4 linked regions of the Oryctolagus cuniculus genome follow. The protein of the gene in region 1 binds, or shares a complex with, the protein of each later gene. Links are inferred from orthologs where the notes say so. Each region holds a gene or a part of one and is shown in the gene's direction. Other genes may lie near its edges.

Region 1 (5,015 bases):
TGCCCAAGCAGATTTCAGCAAAAACCACCAGGAAGATCCTGATGCTCCTGTGTGACGAGTCGGTGAGGCCGGGCTGGGCGGCGTCGGGGCTGGGCGGGGCCCGGAGTCGGGAGTAGGCGCCCCACCCCGGCCATGGCCGGGCACCAGGCCTAGAGCTTGCACCCCGCGCCCAGCTGGCCCAGCTATCAGGTGGTGCTGCCCCTGGGGCTCCTCAGGTTGTGGGCCAGGCCAGCCGGCAAGGGAGGCTGGGCGTGCCCACGCCCCCGTGCCCACGCCCCCGTGCCTGCTGCCAACTGCTCATTGTGAGATAGAGGGGGTGCCGGCCGGCAAGCCCCATCCCCCGCCAAGTGGTGAGGCCCCCTGCCTTGTGGCCCTTCTTTGGGGGCGCAGCTTCAGGCTGCTGGACGTCTGTTAGGCTTGGGCATCTGCACCGGGTGTCAGCGACGACACTTAGGGCTGGTTCAGCCGCGCTGAGTGCTTACTTAGAGTGTGTGGTTCTGAGGTGCAGGGAAGTGGGGGAGCAAGGATGGGCGGCCTCTGTCCCCTGGGGACAGCTGGGGTAGTTTTCTGTGGCACCGGGGCTGAGGGAGTCAGCTGGCAGGGCCTCCCCTCTCTGCAGGCTGCGGGGAGCCCGCCCCAGGCGCTCAGGGCCCCCATGCCCGCCTCGCTCCATGCCTGCCCCTCGCCCAGCTCGGCATTCTGCAGCACTTGGGGGGTCAGTGCTGTGACCGGGTCGGGTCTGGACCGCTGTGGGGGGGGCCTGGGTGTGCGCCCAGTGGCTGGTGGCTGAGGGGAATGGGTGCAGGGCACTCATGTCTGAGGCAGGGCAGGCCCTGGCCGTGCCCCTGCAGAGGCTCGGGCATGCGCACAAGGCCTTGCTCGCCTCCTGGGTTTTGCTCCTGTGCGCAGCCGCAGGCTGAAGCCCCCCTCTGACTGGAGCCACCTTCTTGCGCCTCCTCAGGGTTTCCTCATAGAGAGCAAGCTGATGAGCCTCCTCCTGCCCCTGGAGACGAGCGAGTGCTACCTGCTGCGGTTGGACGCCATCTTCTCGGTGAGTGCCGCGGGCCGGGCCGGGGACAGCCCCGTCTGCCCGACCTGGAACTCGTCTCCACCCTGGGAGTAGGCAGGGTCTCCCAGAGTGCCACTGGGCTCCGGGCTGCCCTGCCCTGCCCCTGCACGCAGCCATCAGCCATCGGCTTGTCCCCGGGCTGCACCCTGCCCGCGTCTCTGGTGCGCCCTGGCTTCGCAGTTGTGTGTGCAGCCGCCTGTCATCAACTTCTCCCACCCCCACCCCCCCACATCAGCCAGCAGCGCTGCTGTCAGCACAAAGGCGCCCGTTTCCTGGAGGTGCCCCACGCCCCGTGAATGCCCCGTGCCGTGGGCCAGGGCAGCCTCCAGGACACTGGGCGGAGCACCCTGGGCCCAAGGCCGCTGTCGCGGGCGCTGGGGCAGCCGTGCTGTTTCCTCTGCAGGCCCTGGGGATCGAAAGCGAGGAGGACCTGTACAAGCTGGTGCACTTCTTCCTGAAATACCGGGCTCACCATCTGTCCTCCAGCCAGGTGAGGAGACCTTGGGCCGAGGGGAGAGCGGCCCCAGGGAGCGGCCCTTCTGCAGAGATGGTGGGGAGTTTGGGGGTTTGTGCGGGGGGCCACCCCCAGCCTCCCTTGTTCTCATTTCCTGTTTGCTGGGGCTGAGAGGCGGCTGCTCCTTCCCTGGGCCCGGCCTCAAGGCGGGGGAAGGCACTGCGAGGTCAGCCCACGGCCGCCCACACCTCCGCCGTAACCAGGTCAGCCCATCCGGAGAAGTCGTCATACTGACAGTGTAAGCTACAGAAGTGTGGTGTGAAATAAAAACATTGAATTTGCACAATGTTTCAGCCTGGCTAGCCACGCGGTGAGTATCCTGATGTGTCTCAGGAAGAGCTGACCGGTGGACAAAGCCGAGAAGCGTGAAGGAGAAGAGAAGACGATGCACTGACAGTTTTCATAGGTGTTCTGCAGGGCAGCAGTCACTGTGTGCAACCTTAGGAGGACAATGATGGCCTGGTGAATAGTATTTGCAACTCATATTACAGGGAGGGCCAGTTTCCTTGGTATATAAAGAGCTCCCAGAAACCAGTATGAAAATGACCAGGAATTCAGTAGAGCGGATGATAGATAAGAATGAATGCCCCAGGAGGCGGTAGAGACGACCTTTAAACTCCTACAAAGCCGTCGGATTTCCCTGTAGTAAAAGCAGCGTGCGCCAAAGCTTCCCAGATTCCACTTTCCACCTGCTGGGCTGTCACCACCATGGAAGTTCACTAACACATGGCTGATACGGGCTGTGGATCCGTGGATCTTAATCTGGCTCCAGGTTCTTGCTGCCCACAGAGAGGAGACTTCAGAGTTGGGGGTGGGGTCTTGTCTTCCCGTGAGAAAGATTTCAGGCATAGACAGCTGTGGTAGGCAAGGCTTACGGGGTAGGGCATCCATCAGAACCGGGTGGTACAGAATCCGAGAGGTGGCCAGTCGCTCAGACTGGGGAAGGCAAGGTGACGTGGTTGAATAGAGCGAATGCCCCTGGCAGGCCAGAGGGAGCCGAGTGCTGGGCGCAGTCCGTCTTCAGGCGGGGCCTTATAGGGGAAAGGGGCCGAGTTCCCCCCGCCGTTCCTCCTCCCGCTCCTCCTCCTCCTCCAGGGGAAAGGGTTTGCTGAGTGTGAATTGGGACGGGTTCCTCCCCCAGGGTGCCCGTCTTGGAGGAAGGCTGTAGAGGTCACCAGGCCAGGTGCCCCGTCGAGCAGGGGGGCACCCTCCTGGGAGCTTCCCTTCAGGGAAGGGCTGAGACCACTTGGAAAGTTCCCAGGGTCTGGGCAGGGCAGTGCAGTGTAAACACGGGGCTGCTTCCGAAGGGGACGTCTGCAGTTGCTGGCTCCCTGCCCCTCTCACCTGTGGGTGCATTTCTAGCTTCCTGCTAGCAAAGTGGAGGCCTCACGCAGTGCAGAAGTGAGAGTGGACATGCTAAAGGCAGAGTGGACATCAGTTCAGGTGTGAGTGTGGCCCCCCAACACGGAGCGGTGCCTCAGCGAGGAAGCCCGGTCAGGGCAGTGGAGCCCCTGCCCCACCGCCAGTCTCCTTTATGAGGCAGGAGTGTGGTGCTGTCTGGGATTTGACTTCCACGTGGTCGTCATGGCGTCCTCTCCTGCCCGGTCCCAGCTGAGACAGGTGCAGGTGGGTGTGACAGGGAAGGTGGGCGTGTCGAAGCTGATGGGTGAGAGGGATAAAGTCGCAGTGCAGGGTTAGCACAAACTCCAGCGCCCTGTCCAGCTGCCCGCCTCGTTCCCCAGATCATGGTGATGGCAGAGTCCGAGTGTCACTTGTGCCCTCCAGGGCGCAGCCCTTGGCCACGTCGGCTGCTCCTCTCTGGGCTCCGGGTTCACGCTGGCTCCCGGCGCAGTGGGGCCGAGGTGCAGATGAGCTGCTCGCTCTTCAGGCATCGTCTGAAATGGCAGAGGGTGAGGTTCACACCGCGCTGTGGGGCTGGAGGAAGTTCTTTGTGCACACAGTCGGGGACGAGCGGTGGCATGGAAGGGGAGCCAGGGCTGGGGGCCGTTGCTTTCTTTGGGAGGGGTCGGGAGAAACTCGGTCTCTTGGATCTGCTTAACCCCAGGAGGTAAACTGAGTAGATTTCGGGACAGAAATAGGAAGGAGACTAAATTTAAAATTGAAGACATTTATTTTGTATTATGATTCAAAAGGATATGTATAATGTGTAAGCTTTAAGAATATCATTGAGGGGCCAGCGCTGTGGCGTAGCGGGTAAAGCCGCCACCTGCAATGCTGGCATCCCGTATGGGCACCGGTGTGAGTCCTGGCTGCCCCCTTCCAACCCAGTTCTCTGCTAATGGCCTGGGAATGCAGAAGAACTGGCCCAAGTCCTTGATCCCCTGCACCCATGTGGGAGACCCAGAAAAAGCTCCTGGCTCCTGGCCTCAGCCTGGCCCGGCTCTGGCCATTGTGGCCATTTGGGGAGTGAACCAGTGGATGAAAGACCTCTCTCTCTCTCTGCCTCTCTGTAGCTCTTCCTTTCAAGTAAATAAATCCTAAAAAAAGAGTATCAGTGAGATGCACCCCTGTGTGACCAGATGTGGAAGAACCCCGGTGCTGTCTGGAAGCCCTCGTGTGCCTCTCCCAGCACCCCCCCCCCCCCGCCCATGTTGGCCTCTGTTCCACCCCGGCCAGGTTTCTGGACGTCTCACGCCATGCTTGCCCTTCCTGCAGTGGGGCGTGGGCGTCCCTGACTGTGGTCCCCTTGCACCTTTCCCCAGATCGCCCCCTCGGACCAAGTGAACGCAGAGCGGCTGAGCACGGTGTCGTTCATGGAGCAGACGAGCGTGGTATCTGTGCCCGAGCACTTGAGCTTGACGTCAGCCTCCGAGGAGGAGCTGGCCGAGCAGACGGCGCCCGAGGGAGAGGCGGAGAGCCCGGTGGAAGGGGAGCAGGCAGAGAGGGAGAGCCCGCTTTCCCCCAAGCTCATTCACCCCAACGACGTCCTCAAGGTGCTGGAGGCCTTTGTCATGGGCCTGCGGAAGCCCAGGTGAACCGCGGCTCGGGCACGGAGCCTGGCAGAGGGCAGTGAGGGCCGCGGGGGCAGGAAGTGGGCCTCCAGAGGAGGGCCGGAGGGGTCGCTGGGCTGAGAAGGAAAGGGGTATGGCAGTGCTGGGCACTTTATTCACTCATCATGCATTCATTTGGCAAGCAGTTGCTAGGCCTGCCAGGTGAGGGCGCCATGGAGAGAACAATGCCGGAGCACGGTAGCAGGTGCACTGTGTGGTTCATGAGGAAGTGGCCTATCAGAGAGGGTTCTGGGAGGAGCTGGCACAGGAGCTGGGTGCTCCCAGGTGCATCAGGTGGGGACAGGGCTTTTCAGGACGCAAGGGCCCAAGGGAAGGCCTGGTGCGCCTGGGACTCAGGACAGGGAGGGATGACCACAGTGCCATGGGCTGTGAGGCTGGGGCTGGTGGCGAGGAGCCGGCC
Region 2 (6,092 bases), on another chromosome or scaffold:
TAAATATTTTTTAAAAAAACCATATATTTGAAAGACAGAGTAGAGATCTTCCATCTGCTGGGTCACTCCTCAAATGGCGGGAATGGCCAGGACTGGGCCAGGTTGAAGCCAGGAGGCAAGAGCCTCTCCCACATGGGTGCAGGGGCCTAAGCACTTGGGCCACCTTCTACTGCTTTCCCAGGCCATTAGCAGGGAGCTGGATCAAAAGTGGAACAGCCGGAACTTGAACCAACACCCATATGGGATGCCAGCATTACAGGTGGCAGCTGTACCTGATATGCCGCAACGTGGGCCCCTTAATGACTTTGGTTCTTACTGAATATAACCACTGGGGCATTAGACAACACAACAGTGGACTGATAATTTTAAAGGAGTACCCTGCCTGTAGCAACGAAAGGGTGATAAAGATGAAAACATTTCCCCAGAGATTTTAATGGTCTGGTGTGAACTGACATCTAATGTTCTACACGTAGTAACTTTAAGAACATAAAAAAATACTATTTAAGTATTTAACCAAATGAATTGAGAATCATAACACAATGAATTGGCTCCTTCCTTTAAACAATTAATAGCTAGTGGCTGGGCACTGTGAATTAGTAGGCTAAGCCTCCACCCCTGGTGCCGGCATCCCATATAGGTGCCAGTTCAAGTCCTGGCTGCTCCTCTTCCAACCCAACTCTCTGCTGTGGCTGGGGAAACAGCATATGGAGGCCCAACTGCCTGGGACCCTGCACTAGCATGGGAAACCTGGAAGAAGCTCCTGGCTTCAGAAGGGCCCAGCTCCAGCTGGGTGGCCATTTGTGGAGTGACCCAGCAGATGGGGGATCTTTCTGCCTTTCCCTCTCAGTCTGTAACGCTATACTTTACATAAAAATTAAAACACAAAAACAAAAAACTTACTTATTAAAAAACCAATTAACAGCTGCAATTTTTCCAAGTGCTAAACCACCACCACCCACAAAACATTCTGCTGTAACCTCTCATTTAGTTCCCTCAAAGACCCAAAATAGGGGCCACAACAGCACTTTACCAACATCTTATTTATTCTTTTGGTAGAAAAATGAAAAATGTCAACAGCATTATAAACTTACTTCTTTGCTTTGTACACATAAGCACACCTCTTGCCCAAGTAGAATTCAGTTTCATCCCGAGCATAAACACCTTCAATTTTAAGCAGTGCCGTGTGTTCCCTTTGGTTCCGGAGACCTCGCTTATAGCCAGCAAAAATGGCCTTGCACCACAGTCTAAGACACAAGATACAGAACAGTGTATGAAAGCTGTTAAAGCATCTACAAACCACCAATATGATTTGACCCCAATGACTCCCGCCTACTTCGGTCATGTCCGATTTCACTATGAGTATCTATAGCATCTGATTTTCTCTTCCAGCATTTCGTGCTCTTTTAAGCCCATGTCTAACACAGAAACTACAAAGCGAGAACATTAGAAACACGTACCTTCCAGACATAGCTGCCTTCTAGAAGTCCTGCTCCCTGCAGGCCTTAAAAAAAAAAAAAAAAAGACTCAGTTTAAAGCCGTGCCATGCCAATTTCCCACCTTGTCGTCCGTTTCTTAAGCCTGCTGTGTCCTTTTTGATCGGCACTCCACCTGGCATGGGGGGGAACCTTAATTATGCTATAAGGTCTATACGAAAAGCAGTCCGTCAAGACTTGCAAACTTCAGAATGGCTGTTACCTAATCAAACTCCAAAGACAGATAAGCCAGGGCAACACACGGAAAGAGCCAATTCCTATAAACTTCAAGAGGAAACCCCCAAAAAAGAAACGAAAACTCAGGAAAGAATGCAGTTAAGCGCAGGGAAAAAACTTCTATGAATCGGCTTAGGACAGAAGAGCTGCGGAGATTACAGGCAAAAACATGTTTGGAGTAGAAGCAAATTGAAAAGGCCCAACGTTAAGCCGCTCACGCGCCAACTTCAGACCGACAGAGTGCATCTATTTCACATCGCTTGAGCCCAGGAACCAAGTCCCATTACCGGGGCACCAGGTCTCCGGGCGCGAGGGGACCTGCACCATCAGCCCCCCATCTCTTCCATCCCGTCCTCCCTCTTCCTGGAAACCATAGCAATCACTGGCTGGCAGGGCCTCAGAGCCGCACCAGACCCTCGTCAAGGTATATAGGTGAACCCAACCCGGTTATTTGCCTCCAAAGTTCAGCAGCAAACGCTCCACTCACCTCCACAGGCTCCAAGATGGCGGAAAGAGGAAGACGAGGCCCCGCCGCGTGGCCTTGTGGGATAAATACCTCCCCGCCCCGCCCCAAATTTAGGCATCTTCCGCGATCGCCAGAAAAACAAGCAGCAGAAATCATCTTGGGACTGAAGTGAACTACATTCAAGAGAACTTTTACAAATTCCTTTTCTAGGTCTTTCTATCTTTCTAAGCTGCAGTATGTATCATTTGGGAACAGCGGCGGGCAAGAAGACAGCCAGCTAAAGGAAGGGGGGGAAGGTCCCCAAACTCGTGTCGCCATAGAAACAGGTCCGCTTGGTTCTCGGGTACGCGGATTCCGTAGGTGGAAAGGCGAAGACGTTGCTCTGCCTCAGGTGCCTAATGCCGGGGTTCCTTTCCCATCTATGACACGGGAGTAGGGCGAACGGAGACTCGCGTCCTACCCGAGTCTGGAAGAAAAAGGCCGGGATCGCGAAGGCAGGAGCTCTCCCTTCTCTTCACCTATGTTTTTACTTCTCTCCCCCTCTACTCCTTTATCTCTTGAGAAATGGCTAAGTCCTTACTTCTAATTGCAGCCTTCGTTTTGACTGAGGGGGTAAGGAGGCCTGCTCTGCCTGGGCCTTTATAGGAGAATGTTTGAGCTTCCCGCTAGAAGCTCAGGGTGGCCAGCGCCGCGCCCACGCGTGGTAAATCCTGGGTAGAAACTACAGTGGATGGATTAGTGGACAGCAGAGATTTAAGCTGCCTAACTTTTGCACATTTATCTGAGTTGCCCTGCGGATTCTTTGATTATTTAGCCAGTAGTTTACTGAATGACTACCGCTTACCAACATTTATTGTAGGTTTGGAGGGTACTGCAGCAAACCAACCAACCAGAAATCTCTGGGCGAGACCATGCGTCTGCATATGAGCCATTCGAGGGTAATACTTCCATGGAGAAAAATTCAACAGGCCACCATAGGAAGGCTTTTTGCCCTCCCATCTGAGGTTTCTGAAGATGGAGAGTGACTCTAGCTGATACTTTTTTTTTTACCAGGATTCAACTGTGTTGACAAGGAACACAAGGGCGCCCGGGAGGCTGCTGTAATGATCCTAATGAGAGATGATGGTGTGTAGACAGGGCTGTTGAGTCCTGGAGTTCCTAAGGCATTTTAAATGTAACACTGGCAAGATTGGCTGATTAGTAAGTCACATTTAAGTCAGATCCTCTCTTAGGTACAGCAGGATAGGGCTTATGTCCCTTGTAGCCACCTGCCCCATCCCTTTTTCTCTGCCACAGAAATGTACTAGAAATCCCGCTCTTAAGAGATTAATTTCTTTAAAAAAAAAAGATTTATTTATTTATTTGAAAGAGTTACACAGAGAGAGGAGAGAGAGAGAGAGAGAGGTCTTCCATCCGCTGGTTCACTCCCCAATTGGCCGCAACGGCTGGAGCTGCGCCAGTCAGAGGCCAGGAGCCAAGAGCTTCTTCTGGGTCTCCCATGTGGGTGCAGGGGCCCAAGCACTTGGGCCATCTTCTACTGCTTTCCCAGGCCGTAGCAGAGAGCTGGATCAAAGTGGAGCAGCCAGGTCTTGAACCAGTGCCCATATGGGATGCCAGTGCTTCAGACCAGGGCATTAACCCACTGCGCCACAGTGCCGGCCCCAAGAGATTAATTCCTTAAGGTTCTAAATGAAAGTCTTCCCAGGGGAGAAGCATACATGAAGTGCAAGTTTCATTCATTTCACAAATCCTTATTGAGCACAGGGGCTGAAATGTAGAATCTGTCAGCATCATTGTCATGTTTCCTGGTCTGATGGAACTTAACGGCCTAGTGGGGGAAATTTACATAAGCATTAAAAATTGTGTGGCGAGCTGTGCTTGAAAATAGAGTGCTGTGAGTGCGTGAACAGAGGGCTCCTAGTGCAGCCTGATGAGTCAGAGCAGGTATCACTCGGAGGAAATGTCATCTAAGGTGTTTTTCAAACCATGGGTGATGAGCATTAATAGATTGTGATCATAATACTACTTTTTAAAAAGGTGTATTTATTTATGTGAAAGGCAGACACACACACACACACACACACACACAGAGACACACAGGTATTCCTAATGCTGGTTCACTTCCCTAGGTCTGGCCAGGGTAAAGCCAGGAGCCAGCAATCCCATCAGGTCTCCCATGTGGAGCCCAAGTACTGGGACCATTTCCCAGGTGCATTAGCAGGAAGCTAGATTGGAAGCAGAGTAGCTGGGACTCAAACTGGCACTTGTAGTTGGGATGCTGGTGTCACAAGCCAGTGGCTTGGTCCTCTGTGCCACAATGCCAGCAAAGACGTAATTTTTGTTCATTTATTTATTTCAGAGACAGAACTCCCATCTGTTGATTCACTCCCCCAGATGCCTGCAGTGACTTGGGCTGGTCCACCTGAAACTGTGAGCCAGGAACTCACTCCATGTCTCCCACGTGGGTGGCAGGAATTCATTTAATAGGATCAGCACTGCTGCTTCCCCGGATCTATATAATAAAGCTGGAGTCAGGTGCCAGAGCCCAGTATTGAGCCCAGATGCTCAGATATGGGACACAGGTATCTTAACTGGAATCTTAACCACTAGGCAAAATCTACTGCCCGGGGTACTTTTTAAAAAATTAGTGAGATTTTGTTATTTATGTATTTACTTATTCAAAAGGCAGAGTGACAGAGAAGGAGAAACAGAGAGTTCTTCTATCTGCTTGTTCACTCCCCAAATGAACACAATAGTCAGGGCTGGGCCAGGCTGAAGCCACGAACTAGGAACTCCATCTGAATCTCCTGTGTGGGTAGTAGTTACCCAAGTATCTGGGCCATCATCTGCTGGTTGCCCAGGCACACGAGCAAGAAGCTTTATCGGAAGCAGAGCAGCTGGGACTCAAGTCCTGCCTTTTGAATGCAGGATGCTGGAGTCACAAGTGGCAGCTTAACCTGCTAAGTTACAATGCTGGCCCCATAGTATTTTTTAAATAAAATATGATAACTCAGAATTATCAGACTATCACACAGGGTAAATGCTTTCAATGAAACTCTTGTTGTAGTTGTTTGTGTGAGAGTACGTACATAAATGTGTAAGTGTACCAAGTCATTGTGTCGGTCAGTGTTGCCCTGGAAAGAAACCACTGGCAGAACTGAGAGTCTCTTAAGGGATCTGTTTACAAAGGGGTAGGCAGGAGCTAACACTGTAAAGAATGTAGTCTCCAGAGACTTCTCTCGGCATGTAGTTACCTAGGCCCTGAGAGGGAGTGGTTAGGAGAGGATTGTCTGATAGGAACAATGGCCTTTGAGAAAGGAATACAGCCCCTAAATGATACTGGCAGGGAGAGAGGGGGAATCGATATTCATCCTTGACCTTCCTTGCCTACAGTTGGATCTTTTTCTGGACTCTCTGTTGATGCACTCCAAATGGATCAGTCTCTTGAGAGCACAGAAATGTAGGAGATTGGGTGGAGAGGACAAAAGGCATATACCTAGAAAAATGCCACAACCTGGATTGGTACCTGATAGCTCAACAGAGCTTTACAAGATGAAGAGGTGACAGGAAGTGGTTCCAAGTTGCAGGAAAAGCATTTGCAAAGGTCCCGAGTTTGAAAGGAGCATGATTCCATAGAAGCCCTGAGACAAGCCTGTGGAGGCCAAACCCAAGACTGCAAGGAAAGGACGGGGCAGGTGGTTTTGGAGAGGAGCAAGGTATGGGAGGGTTAGGGCAGATCCTGTGGGCCAAGTTAAGAATTTGGTCTTTCTTTTTTTTTTTTTTTAATTCAGATTTATTTATTTATTATTTGAGAGGTAGAGTTACAGACAGTGAGAGGGAGAGACAGAGAGAAAGGTCTTCCATCTGCTGGTTCACTCCCCAAATGGCGACGGCGACTGGAGCTGTGCCGATCTGAA
Region 3 (5,804 bases), on another chromosome or scaffold:
GAGGGAAGACCTTTCTCTCTCTCTCTCTCTCTGTCTATAACTCTACCTGTCAAAAAAAGAGTTTTTAGATTTATTTATTTATTTATTTGAAAGATAGAGTGCTGCTGTGGCCTGGGAAAGTCCTTGGGTCCCTGCACATGTGTGGGAGACCCAGAAGAAGCTCCTGGCTCCTGGCTTCAGATGGGCACAGCTCTGGCCATTGCAGCCATCTGGGGAATGAACCAGTGGATGGAAGATGGCTCTCTCTCTCTCTTCATCTGCCTCTGTCTCTCTGTAACTCTGCCTTTGAAATAAATAAATCTTAAATAAATAAATAAACTAGAAGAAAGAATAAAACTATTAAAAAACACAATAATGATTTCAAAGGATTATATACTTTTTTAAAGATTTATTTTTATTTATTTGAAAGACAGAGTTACAGAGAGAGGTAGAGACAGAGAGAGAGTGATGGTTCACTCCCCAGATGGTCTCAATGGCCAGAGCTGCACCAATCCGAAGCCAGGTTCCAGGAGCTTATTCCGGGTCTCCCACATGGGTGCAGGAGCCCAAGGACTTGGGCCATCTTCTACTTTCCCAGGCCATAGCAGAGAGCTGGATTGGAAGCGGAGCAGCCAGGACTTGAACCAGCGTCCATATGGGATGCCGGCACTGCAGGCAGGCAGCGGCTTTACCGACTACACCACAACACTGGCCCCCTGACAGTCCCTATTCCTCAGACTCATTTTTCCCAACCACTGTGACTCTAGCGAGATGCTAGGAAGTACCTCAAAAAGGGACTCAGTCCCACACTGCCCAGAGATAATCCAAAATAAAAAACCTTGTGCAGATACTGTGGCGTAGAAGGTTAAGCCACTGCCTGCATGGCGGGCATCCCATATCAGAGTGCTGGTTTGAGTCCCAGCTGCTCCACTTCTAATCCAGATTCCTGCTACTGCGCCTGGGAAGCAGCAGCTGATGGCCCAAGCATTTGGGCCCCTGTCACCCATGTGGGAGACCTGGATGGAGTCTTGGGCTCCTGGCTTCGGCCTGGCTCAGACATGGCTGTGGTTGGCATTTAGGGAGAAAACCAGATGGACGATCTCTGTCTCTCTCTGTATCTGTCGTTCTGCCTTTCAAATAAATGAAATAAATCTATATAAAAAAAAAATTTAGCAGACTTGGGAATACAAGCGAGTCCACTAGAGGGAGCCCCAACCAACTCTATGGTACAGGGAGCCCCTCAAGGTAGTTTCTGAAAATCAACCACCTAAAGGCAATAGATTCAGTGGGTGCAATAAGACAGTCATGTAAATACCCAGTCAAGACCCAGGACCTTCAGAATTTACCAACTCCGTGATGTAAAAGGCAGGAAGCAGGCTAAACCAAGTTAAATAGCTTCCACCTCCAGAGAGGGGGCCTGTGCTGCAGTTTTGGTCCCTAACCAGTGTCCATCCCGCCAAGCCAATACCCCAGAGTCTACGGGTCCTCACTCCTCTGTGTCTCATTTTTCTGGAAGTCTGCCCCAGCACCTGCTCCTGCACCCTGCAGAATGCCTTGCCGAAGGGACGCTTCCGGTTTCAGCACAAGGTCATCTTGCAATAGGATCTCAGGATGTGGATCGTCCAAGACGGCTGCCATCACGCTTTTCCTCCACATCCGCACAACAGTGTTGTCTCAGCCGTGCAAATCTGTCATTTCTGAGTCTCCAAATGACAGCACCTACGTGGAAGTGAATCACAGCTAGTTTGCTCCAAAGCCCTTTCTTTTCAAACTATGCTTAGGATTTGTGGATGAAAGGAGAACTACCTTTCCCAGACCTTGGTCTTTTAGGCATTGTGAGTTGATCTGGCCTATTGCACCTTCTCATGAACTCCATGTTGCTCAGTTGCCTGGGCAACATGCAACCTCCAGAAACCCAACCTTCCAGTTCTCAGTCCAGCCCCCTGAGGAAAATGTGCTGCCTTGGATTGGCTCCCAGGACGCAGGCTCCTCCTCAGGCTCCTAGCTTATTGGGCCTTCTCTCTGTCTCTCCCCACGAGTGGCTCACTCTACAGGGAGACCCAACACAGGCAAGAGAGGGTCTGACAAGTGGTGGAGGTGAGGTAAGGATGAAGGCAAGAGGGAGGGGACAGCTATGGGAATGTATCTTCGCCAAGAGAGCTGAGAGTAACAGCTTTCTGTATGCAGTGTCTTCCCCACTGACCCCAGCCCCGCCTGAGGCTCCAAGGAGACCGGCAACTGAAGCTTCTGGAAAGTAAAGGTTTGTGGGAAATGTAATTAAAAGACAAGCTTATTTTGGTGCAAAAAATTCTTCCAAGTATATTTGAGGGATGTTCAAAAAGCTCATAGAACATGTGTATTGTGAAAAAAAACTGTGGGCCGGTGCCGCGGCTCACTAGGCTAATCCTCCGCCTGCGGCGCCGGCACACCGGGTTCTAGTCCTGGTCGGGGCGCCGGATTCTGTCCCGGTTGCCCCTCTTCCAGGCCAGCTCTCTGCTGTGGCCAGGGAGTGCAGTGGAGGATGGCCCAAGTGCTTGGGCCCTGCACCCCATGGGAGACCAGGATAAGTACCTGGCTCCTGGCTTCGGATCAGCGCGCAGGCTGCAACAACCATTGGGGGGTGAACCAACGGCAAAGGAAGACCTTTCTCTCTGTCTCTCTCTCTCACTGCCCACTCTGCCTGTCAAAAAAAGAAAAAAAAAAAAAGAAAAGAAAAAAGAAAAAAAAAGAAAGAAACTGTGAATGGATTTAACTGTATTTTCTATTAACTTTTTTGTTCTTTTGTTGTTGTTGTTGTTCTCATTTCTCCCTTAATTGTAACTATGTTGAGAGTCAGAGAGAGACCGACAGAAAGACAGACAGAGGCCCCATCTGCTGGTTCACTCCCCCAATTCCCCTAATGGCTGGGACTGGACCTGGCCAAAGCTGGGAGCTGGGAACTCAGTCCAGTTCTCCCAAGGGGGTGGCAAGAATCCACCTGCTTGAATCACCCTGCTACCTCCCCGAGTCTCTGCAGCAGGAAGCAGAAGTCAGGCGCTGCAGCCAGGAGTGCAGCAGGCACTCTGATATGGACTGTGGACGTCTTGACCACTAGACCGAATGCCCAGTCTGTATCCCACGAACTTTCTAAAGTACCATTCGAGTGCCAGTTCAAGTCCTGGCTGCTCCACTTCTGATCCAGTTCCCTGTTAATGTGCCTGGAAGGCGGCAGAGAATGGGCAAGTCCTGGGGCCCCGGCACCCACGTGGGAGATCAGGGGTCCAGACTCCTTACTTCTGCCTGGCCCAACCCTGGCCACTGGGGCCATTTAGGGACTAAATCAGCAGATGGAAGATCTCTCCTTCCACCCCCTGCCCCAACTCTGGCTTTCAACTAAATAAATATTTTTTTGAAATAAATAAATCTTTAAAAAAGAAAGACTTGTGTCTTTAAAACAAGAGAAAGGGGCAGACTTGGAAAGCAGACTTCTGACCCTCCCAAGACTCCTGGTTCAGGATCCCCTTGTCCAGATTTGAAAGCAAGGTCCCCTCCCTCCATCAGGACAGCAAGGAAATGCCACCCAAGACCAAACAGAAAGGCAGGAAAGCCGGCGTGCAGAAGAAGAAAAAGAACCCAGGGCCGGGTGAGTCGTCGTGGGTGGGGGTGGGTGCCCGTTTCTCTGGGTTCTGAAACAGAGACCAAGCAGAGGCCCGCAGCACAGTCCTCGCTGTCCAGATTCCACGGAGCTGAGGAATGGGGGAATGGTCACCCACGCCCTCCCTCGAGACCGCCCAGCTCTGTGCCTCCCCACTGGTCACCCATATGTTGAATGCCTCATCTGTGCTGGGCAGGGAGCACACGGTGCATGCTGAATGGACTCTGCCCGCAGGGAGCCCTCAGAGCTGGCTCAGGACGGAGTCCAGGGCCGGGGGCGGGGGTCATGTAAGCTAAGGCTCTGTCATTTGCCAGGACAGATGTGGAGGCCGAGTCCAAGCACAGACAGCTGGTGCTGGAGACGGAGCTGCTCCGAGACCGGCTGGGTAAGAAGGGTGAGCTATCTGGGACCACAGAAGCAGAGCAGTGGGGGCGCTGCTGTGTCCTGGCGGGACTGGACGTTTGGAGCCACGGTGGAAGCTACGCCAAACCCTAACCATCCCCTAGTGGAACAGGACAGGGAAGGCTGATGAGGGACGCTATTATTTACAGCCAGAACATGGAGGGAGGTTTTACTCCTTAGCAATGAAAAGCTCATGAGATCCTAGGAAAATAAAATGACCCAACAACCTGGAGAGACAGAAAGGGGCGGGCATTGTGGTGACATGGGTTCAGTCACCACCTGCGACACCAGCATCCCACTGGCTGCTCCACTGCCAGTCCAACTCCTGCTAATGTTTCTGGGAAAGCAGCCGGTAATGGTGCAAGTACTGGGGCCCAGCCCCAGCCATAGCAGCCATTTGGGGAGTGAATCAGTGGATGGACAATCTTTCTCTCTCTGTCTCTGTCTCTCTCTCTCTGCCACAGTGCCTTTCAAATAAATAAAATAAATACTTAAAAAGAAAAAAAAAAACAGAAAGAGAAAGAGAAAGAATAAGAGGTGGGGTGCCCTGCCCCCAGGTGTCTTTTATTTTTAAGATTTATTTATTTATTTGAAAGTCAGAGTTACATAGAGAGAGAAGGAGAGAGAGAGAGAGAGAGAGAGAGAGAGAGAGAGGTCTTCCATCCACTGGTTCACTCCCCCAGTTGGCTACAATGGCTGGAGCTGCACTGATCCGAAGCCAGGAGCCAGGAGCTCCTTCCAGGCCTCCCAGGCAGGTGCAGGGGCCCAAGGCATTGGGCCATCTTCCACTGCTTTCCCAGGACATAGCAGAGAGCTGGATCAGAAGTGGAGCAGCCAGGACCTGACTGGTGCCCATATGGGATGCCAGCACTGCAGGCAGTGGCTTTACTCACTATACCACAGCACCTGTTCCAGCTACCACCGGATTTCTAGAGACAGGAAAGGCCATCCAGCCCTCTGGGGCTGATTCAGCGGCCCTCAGCAGGCTCTGAGCAGGGCTCCGGGACCGCTCGCAGCTCTACAGGGGGAAGGGGCCCGTCGAGCCAAGGCTTCTGAAGAAAGGCTGAAGCAGAGGTTGCAAGAGTTGGAGGCTGAACTGGAAGAGGCCCGCAGCGAGGGGAAGGCCGTATATGCAGGTGCGTGGTCGGTTCAGCAGCTGGGCAGGACACAAGGGCCTGGGAGAAGATAAGAGGGGCTTCTGACTGCCGGGCCCGGTCTCAGCCTTCCCTGCGTAGCACAAAGCAGGCAACTCCTGGTGGATGCAAGGAGGCCTCTGGGCTCGCAGGCAGGGACCTTCCAGGGTGCCTGGGGCCAGTGTCAGTGCCAGCTGCACTGGGGGACACAGGACGCAGTCCCAGCCACTGTTTCATTCACTCAGCAGCAGTGAGCGGGCAGATGGGCTGGGGCCCTGATCCTAAGCCGGAGTGGGGAGGCGGCCTGGTGTCCTTCCCTTTCCCCAGGTGTCCAGGGTCTCCCAGCATCCCAGGATCACAGGAACTGAGCAGTTCCTTGGGCTCCTGTCTCCTGGACCACACAGTTCCTTCCCGCCCCCAACTCCTTGCCTTTCTCCATCCCTCCTCCATCCCTGGCCGTCCACCGTCCTCCCTCCAGAGATGAGTCGCCGGTGCAGGGCCCTGCAGGAGCAGATGGAGAGACGCAGCAAGCAGCTGGAGGAGGAAGTGAGGGGTCTCCGCAAGCAGCTGGGTAGGTGCCCCGCCCTGCCCTGGGCCTTTCCTCTCCAAGGGAGGCTGACAAGATCCAGGTTCAGTGCGGGGGCAAACTTAGGTCT
Region 4 (5,751 bases), on another chromosome or scaffold:
CCCTGACGGCCGGGTTTGCTGGTGGAGAACGTAGGTGTGGCCCACCTGGGCACGCGCTCCTCTGCCGGCTGGCTCCCCTCTCCAGGGCCAGGCGGGGGCTGCAGGGCTGGGGTCCCTAAAAGAGTGACCCCCAGTACCAAGTGGCGCACACTTCCTAAGGCCAACAGGTGCTACGGCAGAAACATACCCCAGGCCCAGAACTGTCGCTGAGCGGCTCCACCAGCCCCGGAGGGTGGGGGGACATCAGCTGAGCACAGGCCTTGGGGCCAGATCCTGCCCCTGCCCAGGGCCCACCCCTCCCCCTCTCAGCCTGGGAAGGAGAGCAGGCAGTAGCCGCCCCCACCCCCAAGCTGAGGACAGAAAGGACTCATGAGAGACTGGCCATGAGGGCTGGGCAGGGCCTGGCCCCCAGCCCAACAGGGATGTGACCAGGCTGGAGCGTGACCTGGCCGTCACCTGCCCGGGGCCAGCCGGCTGTGCGGCAGGGAGGGGCCTTGGCTCTCTTCATCCCTGGTATCGTCATCACAGCACAACCGATACACGGAAGTAAAAGGCACATTTGCCCTACCTCGGGTAGACACCTTAATATTGGAAGACGTGAAATTCTTGACACACATTAATTCAATGCAATACCAGTAAAGATCTCAACTCATTTTATTTAGTTATTTATTTTTGGCCCCTCCTCGTGGAGGCCACTGGCCTGAAATCGCTGAGTGGGTGTTGAAGTTAGACTTGACCTCGGGCTCTAGAGGATATCACAGAGTCGGAGTGAGAAGCCCAACGTGGAGTCTGCAGGGATAGGAAAGGACTCGAGTGGAACAGAAGAGAGGGCTCAGCGTCAGCTCCGTGGACACCTGGTGAGCTGACACTCAGCAAGGATGGCAGGCCACGCGGGGAGGGTGGCCGCCGATGCCACCGGAGGAACACCAGCTTGTTATCGCGAGACTGAATGAACACGGTCGCCTGTACCCCTTGGCACAGAGAGGAGCTCTGGTGTGAGCATGAGAGCTGTAGGGTTAACACGGGGAAGATGAGGAAGGGCTTCTCAAACAGGAAACAGCAGACCACCAGCTAATCCCCGTCACCACCCCACAGCCGAGGCGTTCCGTGTGACAAGGACACCTCAGCCGACATCAGCAGACGCCGTGGAGTGGGGGAGGTTAGCCGCAGCATCTAAAGCCAGGGGCAGGCCGGTGCTGTGGTGCAGTGGGTTAAGCTGCACCTGTGGCCTGTGGCCTGTGATGTCAGCGTCAGCTGATTTGAGTCCTGGCTGCCCCACTTCCATCTCCGATCCAGCTCTCTGCTAATAGCCTGGGAAAGCGGTGGAAGATAATTCAGGCGCTTGGGTTCCTGTACCTTTGTGAGAGACCCGGATGGAGCTCCTGGCTCCTGGCTTTGGCCTGGCCTAGCCCTGGCTGTTGCAGCCATTTGGAGAGTGAACCAGCAGATAGAAGGTCTCTCTACTCAACCCCCCCCCCCCCCGTAACTCTGCCTTTCAAATAAATGAATAAAATAGATCTTTAAAAAATAATTAAAATAAATAAATAAACACTGCTCTGGGCCCCTACTGTAATGGATGGGTTTTCCTTGTCCTGAGCGCCATCTGCTAAGTCAGAGGTCCAGCCTGTCCCCAGCAGCCACCCCGGTCTCCGTGTCCCTGGAGGGAAGCCACAGTGGCTGGGAGGCAGGGGCCGAGGCGGTGCTGTGGGTGAGTAACCACAGCGGCTGGGAGGAACGGCCCTGCGTGTGGCCCTCGGCAGCTCCCCTGCACTCAGTAAGCCCCCGACTGATTTGACTAAGGCGAAGGGATCCCTCTCCCCAAGGCGGGTGTCACCACAGGGGCCTGGAAATCCGGAAGGGGTGAGTTTCCAGCTCCTATTGCTTTTGTTGTAATATAATCATCTGCTTGTAGGCTGTGTTTGACAACTGGAAGTTTAATCACCTGGACACTTTGGCCCAGGGAGTCGGGACAACTCAAAGACTACATTTCCCAGGAGCCTCCTCTCCGGGGACCAGCCCAGAGCTTGGGAACGCTGTTACCATGGAGACAGCTAACAGCTAGCACAGGCTGTCCTCGGAGGGGTGAGGAGGGAGCAGGGGTCTGGGGCTGCTGGACTGGCTTGGCAGAGGGAGGGGGACGGTCGTGGGATGAGGGGGATGCCTCTTCCTGGGGGGTCTTTAGCCCTGATCTTGGGGGGAGGTTTTCGTGAGTGTGTGTAGAGGGGAGGAGGGGGTTGCAGGGAAGAGACTGTGGATGGGGCAGGGTCCAGGGAGCTTTGAGGCAGGATGGCCCTCCCTAGCAGCTGTGGGGAGAATAAGGTGTTGCAGCTCTGGCCCCAGCTGCCCACCTCCCCCCTCTTCCAGGGGTCCCTTGCCCTTGGGTTCAGGGCCACCCAGTGCCGGCTCCACGGTAACCCCTGGCGCCCTCTGACACCTGGACCTGCTCCTTTCCTTCCTCACCACGTCCCTGCCTCCCACCGTCCTTTCCTGGACGTTCCTAACTCATTAGGCTCTGAAACGCACGGCTTACACAGCCAGGAAGAGATGGGTTTGAATCCCAAATCTGCCACTTACTAGCTACTACTGTATGTGCTGCCCTGAAGGTCTCTAGACCTCAATCTTGTCGTCTGCAAAGTGGGCATTGTAAGAGGGTCTGCACTGCAGAGTTGTTGGAGGATCCGTGAGAATAGCCCTGTGCAGCCCTAGCACGGGGTCTGCACATAGTAGCTGTTAACTAAACTGTGAGTGCCTCCGGGGCTCATGCTCTTTGTGCTGAAATGGATCTGATGCCCAGCCATGCTGTTTGGCTGGAGGTTTGTCCCCCAGGAACCGGGGTCCCAGACGGGCCTCGTGGATGGGCTTCCTGGACTTGGGGCCTCTGCTGTGACCTTGACCGACTGGCTTCCAGCACCAGGAGCGTTCAGCACATCCCAAGTCCTAGAACACAGAATTTCAGAACGGGGCAAAAGCACCTGGTCTTCCCTTCCTCTGGCAGGAGGGGAAACTGAGGCCCAGGAAGGGGCAGGGCATGGCGCAAGGGCACAGCAGGAGCAGGGAGCAGAGCCAGGATTTCTCCCAACCCTGGCTGCTGGCCAGCGATTTGTCTCCCCGGGGAGGGCGGGCCAGCATTTACCTCCTGGTCCCCTTTGCATGCTCGGGGCTGGCTCGATTCTGCAGGGTGATGAGAAACGGAGACACCTGCCCTTCCCTCCCTGCTCCACACCACAGCCTGGGAGTTGGGTCGGGTTTCCTCCTCGCTGGGCTCTTGCTCTGTTGGCTGTGGAGGAAGTAGACATTTGAGATGGGGTGATGGAAAGGCCGGAACCGGGGACCGGTGGGTCTGCTGGGGTGGCGCTGGGCAGCCAGGAGCAGGGACGCAAGGGGAGGCTGAGCTCTGCACCCACACGAGTCTAGAGCTGGCACTTGGGCCTCTGTGGCATCCCCTGGGACCTCCGTCCCCGTGTCTCCACCTGCCATCCTTAGTAGGCACGTGTGGTCACCTCACAGTCACGCCGTGGCCACCCCACCCCAGCTGGAGGTCCCCTTCCAGGCAGCAGGAGGAGAAAGGACAAAAGTTACAGCTGGGCCTCCTGGGCTCGGCCCTCTAATCAGCCGCCCGGGAATTTGTGCTCACGTCTCACTGGCCAGAACTCGGTCCCCTCTCAGGCCAGCACGCCACCTGTAGCTGCAGGAGGCTCTGGAAGCTGAACATTTGAGGGCACAGTTCTGCCCTCCCCAATGTGGGGCTCTGCTGTGGGGCAGGGCCTGGATCTCTGGGGAGGACAACAGGGTCCACTCAGCCAGGCCCTGCTCTGTGGCCAGCATGGGTCACAGAACCAGGCCTGTCCTCTGTCTGCTGGCCACACAGGGCGTGGCCAGGAGCTGACCCCATCACCTGCCCCTCATCCACGTGCCTTGGTCTCTCTGGTCTCTGTGCCTCAGGCCGCAGTTTGCTGAGATGAGACGTCACTCACCTGGAACCTTCATGGGTTTTTTGGTCACATTCTGTGTCGCTTGACTGTTGTGAATGCTTTTTGTAAACCAAGTCACTTTTTGGATTGAATCAAGACCTCTAAATAGGAGACCCTATGAAAGGGTAGCAATCCATACAGTATTAGCATCATTACTGTAAAGAAAAGATAACCATCAAAAGAGATGCGAGGGGCCAGTGTAGTGGTGCAGTGGGTTAAAGCCGCCGCCTGCAGCGCCAGCATCCCGTATGGGTGCCAGTTCAAGTCCCGGCTGCTCCACTTCTGATCCAGCTCCCTGCTGTTGCACCTGGGAAAGCAGCAGAGGATGGTCTAAGTCTTTGGGCCCCTGCACCCATGTGGGAGACCCGGAAGGAGTTGATGTGCACCCGTTTTTCTCTTTTTTAAGATTTATTTATTTATTTGAAAGGCAGAGTTAGAGAGAAGGAGAGACACAGGTCTTCCATCCTCTGGTTCACTCCCCCAAGAAATCAGGAGCTTCATCCGGGTCTGCACGTGGCTGGCAGCGACCCAAGCACTTGGGCCATCTTCACTGCTTTCCCAGGTGCCTTAGCAGGGAACTGGAAGGAAAATGGAGCAGCCAGGACTTGAACCTGGGCCCAAGGAGGATGCTGGCTCGCTACTGCCCCTGCCTGTCTAAAGGGAGTTGTGCAAGTAGAACACGTGGCTGTGCTGGGGGAGAGCAGGCACCTGCAGCAGGTGCCTCTCGGGTGCTGCCTTTACAGGAAGGGGGCGCTTGGCTATGCCACGGTGTCCTTGGCCACAGACGGAGACTGAGGCGCAGCGCGGGTGGTGGGCTTACAGAGGTGCTAGCGCCACACAGGACTTTGTCCTTGACCGAAAGGAAGTTTAAGAGGGAATCACTGGCCGGCGCCGTGGCTCACTAGGCTAATCCTCCGCCTTGCGGCGGAGGACTAGAACCCGGTGTGCCGGCACCGCAAGGCGGAGGATTAGCCTAGTGAGCCGCAGCGCCAGCACACCGGGTTCTAGTCCCGGTCGGGACACCGGATTCTGTCCCAGTTGCCCCTCTTCCAGGCCAGCTCTCTGCTGTGGCCAGGGAGTGCAGTGGAGGATGGCCCAAGTGCTTGGGCCCTGCACCGCATGGGAGACCAGGATAAGTACTGGCTCCTGCCATCGGATCAGCGCGGTGCGCCGGCCGCGGCGGCCATTGGAGGGTGAACCAACAGCAAAGGAAGACCTTTCTCTCTGTCTCTCTCTCACTGTCCACTCTGCCTGTCAAAAAAAAAAAAAAAAAAAAAAGAGGGAATCACTTCCGGTATGTGTGCTGGAGGCCACTTGAAACCATTTCCGGGGGTCCCAGGGATGCACAGTGGGGCTTGGCGGCTGTCGGTGATTGATCTGAGGGTCACCCCTCCCCCAGTGCCAGAATGGAGGTCCTGAAGGAGAAGGTGGAGGAGGAGGAGGCGGCCGAGCGGGAGGAGGCGGCCGAGCGGGCAGAACGGGCGGACAGGATGGATAAGGCCATGATGAGGCCGGTGGAGGCACGCAAGGAGACCACCATGACGCCGGAGACGCTCAGAGACCTGGAGAGGAAGCTGGCCGAGACCCCGCTCCCCAGCCCGGCAAAGCTCCCGTGAGTGTGTTGGGATGGAGGCTCTGGGCCCTGCAACCCCGGTGAGAGTGGACCAGGACTGGGCACAGGAAGAGCCAGGCAGGGTGGTGGCACCGGGCTGGGATCAGGACACAGAGGGAGGGCTCCGCTTTCAGACGGCCTGGTCTGAGTGGCCACTCTCCCTCTGCC

The links. Proteins that work in one complex are often made in the same cells at the same time.
Region 2: DRC1 (region 1) and IQCG share a complex: the UniProt entries of both Homo sapiens proteins name them as parts of the nexin-dynein regulatory complex. The link is inferred for Oryctolagus cuniculus from reciprocal best matches to the Homo sapiens genes DRC1 and DRC9.
Region 3: DRC1 (region 1) and DRC12 share a complex: the UniProt entries of both Homo sapiens proteins name them as parts of the nexin-dynein regulatory complex. The link is inferred for Oryctolagus cuniculus from reciprocal best matches to the Homo sapiens genes DRC1 and DRC12.
Region 4: DRC1 (region 1) and DRC7 share a complex: the UniProt entries of both Homo sapiens proteins name them as parts of the nexin-dynein regulatory complex. The link is inferred for Oryctolagus cuniculus from reciprocal best matches to the Homo sapiens genes DRC1 and DRC7.

The regions. Positions count from the first base shown.
Region 1 is NC_091433.1:176,385,405-176,390,419, reverse strand, and holds part of DRC1 (dynein regulatory complex protein 1), read left to right. Parts: coding exon 1-62; intron 63-961; coding exon 962-1,051; intron 1,052-1,472; coding exon 1,473-1,559; intron 1,560-4,306; coding exon 4,307-4,575; intron 4,576-5,015. UniProt on the Homo sapiens protein: Component of the nexin-dynein regulatory complex (N-DRC) a key regulator of ciliary/flagellar motility which maintains the alignment and integrity of the distal axoneme and regulates microtubule sliding in motile axonemes.
Region 2 is NC_091435.1:82,115,804-82,121,895, forward strand, and holds the start of IQCG (dynein regulatory complex protein 9), read left to right. Parts: upstream 1-2,307; 5' UTR 2,308-2,669; exon of another isoform or gene 2,670-2,787; intron 2,788-3,034; exon of another isoform or gene 3,035-3,300; intron 3,301-4,534; exon of another isoform or gene 4,535-4,757; intron 4,758-6,092. Other genes in the region: RPL35A (large ribosomal subunit protein eL33), read right to left, coding at 1,092-1,244, 1,458-1,468. UniProt on the Homo sapiens protein: Component of the nexin-dynein regulatory complex (N-DRC), a key regulator of ciliary/flagellar motility which maintains the alignment and integrity of the distal axoneme and regulates microtubule sliding in motile axonemes.
Region 3 is NC_091432.1:111,111,998-111,117,801, forward strand, and holds the start of DRC12 (dynein regulatory complex protein 12), read left to right. Parts: upstream 1-2,019; 5' UTR 2,020-2,081; intron 2,082-2,166; 5' UTR 2,167-2,239; intron 2,240-3,519; 5' UTR 3,520-3,531; coding exon 3,532-3,601; intron 3,602-3,932; coding exon 3,933-3,998; intron 3,999-5,031; coding exon 5,032-5,151; intron 5,152-5,626; coding exon 5,627-5,719; intron 5,720-5,804. UniProt on the Homo sapiens protein: Component of the nexin-dynein regulatory complex (N-DRC), a key regulator of ciliary/flagellar motility which maintains the alignment and integrity of the distal axoneme and regulates microtubule sliding in motile axonemes.
Region 4 is NC_091449.1:41,176,429-41,182,179, forward strand, and holds the start of DRC7 (dynein regulatory complex subunit 7), read left to right. Parts: upstream 1-1,966; 5' UTR 1,967-2,082; intron 2,083-5,370; 5' UTR 5,371-5,377; coding exon 5,378-5,583; intron 5,584-5,751. UniProt on the Homo sapiens protein: Component of the nexin-dynein regulatory complex (N-DRC) a key regulator of ciliary/flagellar motility which maintains the alignment and integrity of the distal axoneme and regulates microtubule sliding in motile axonemes.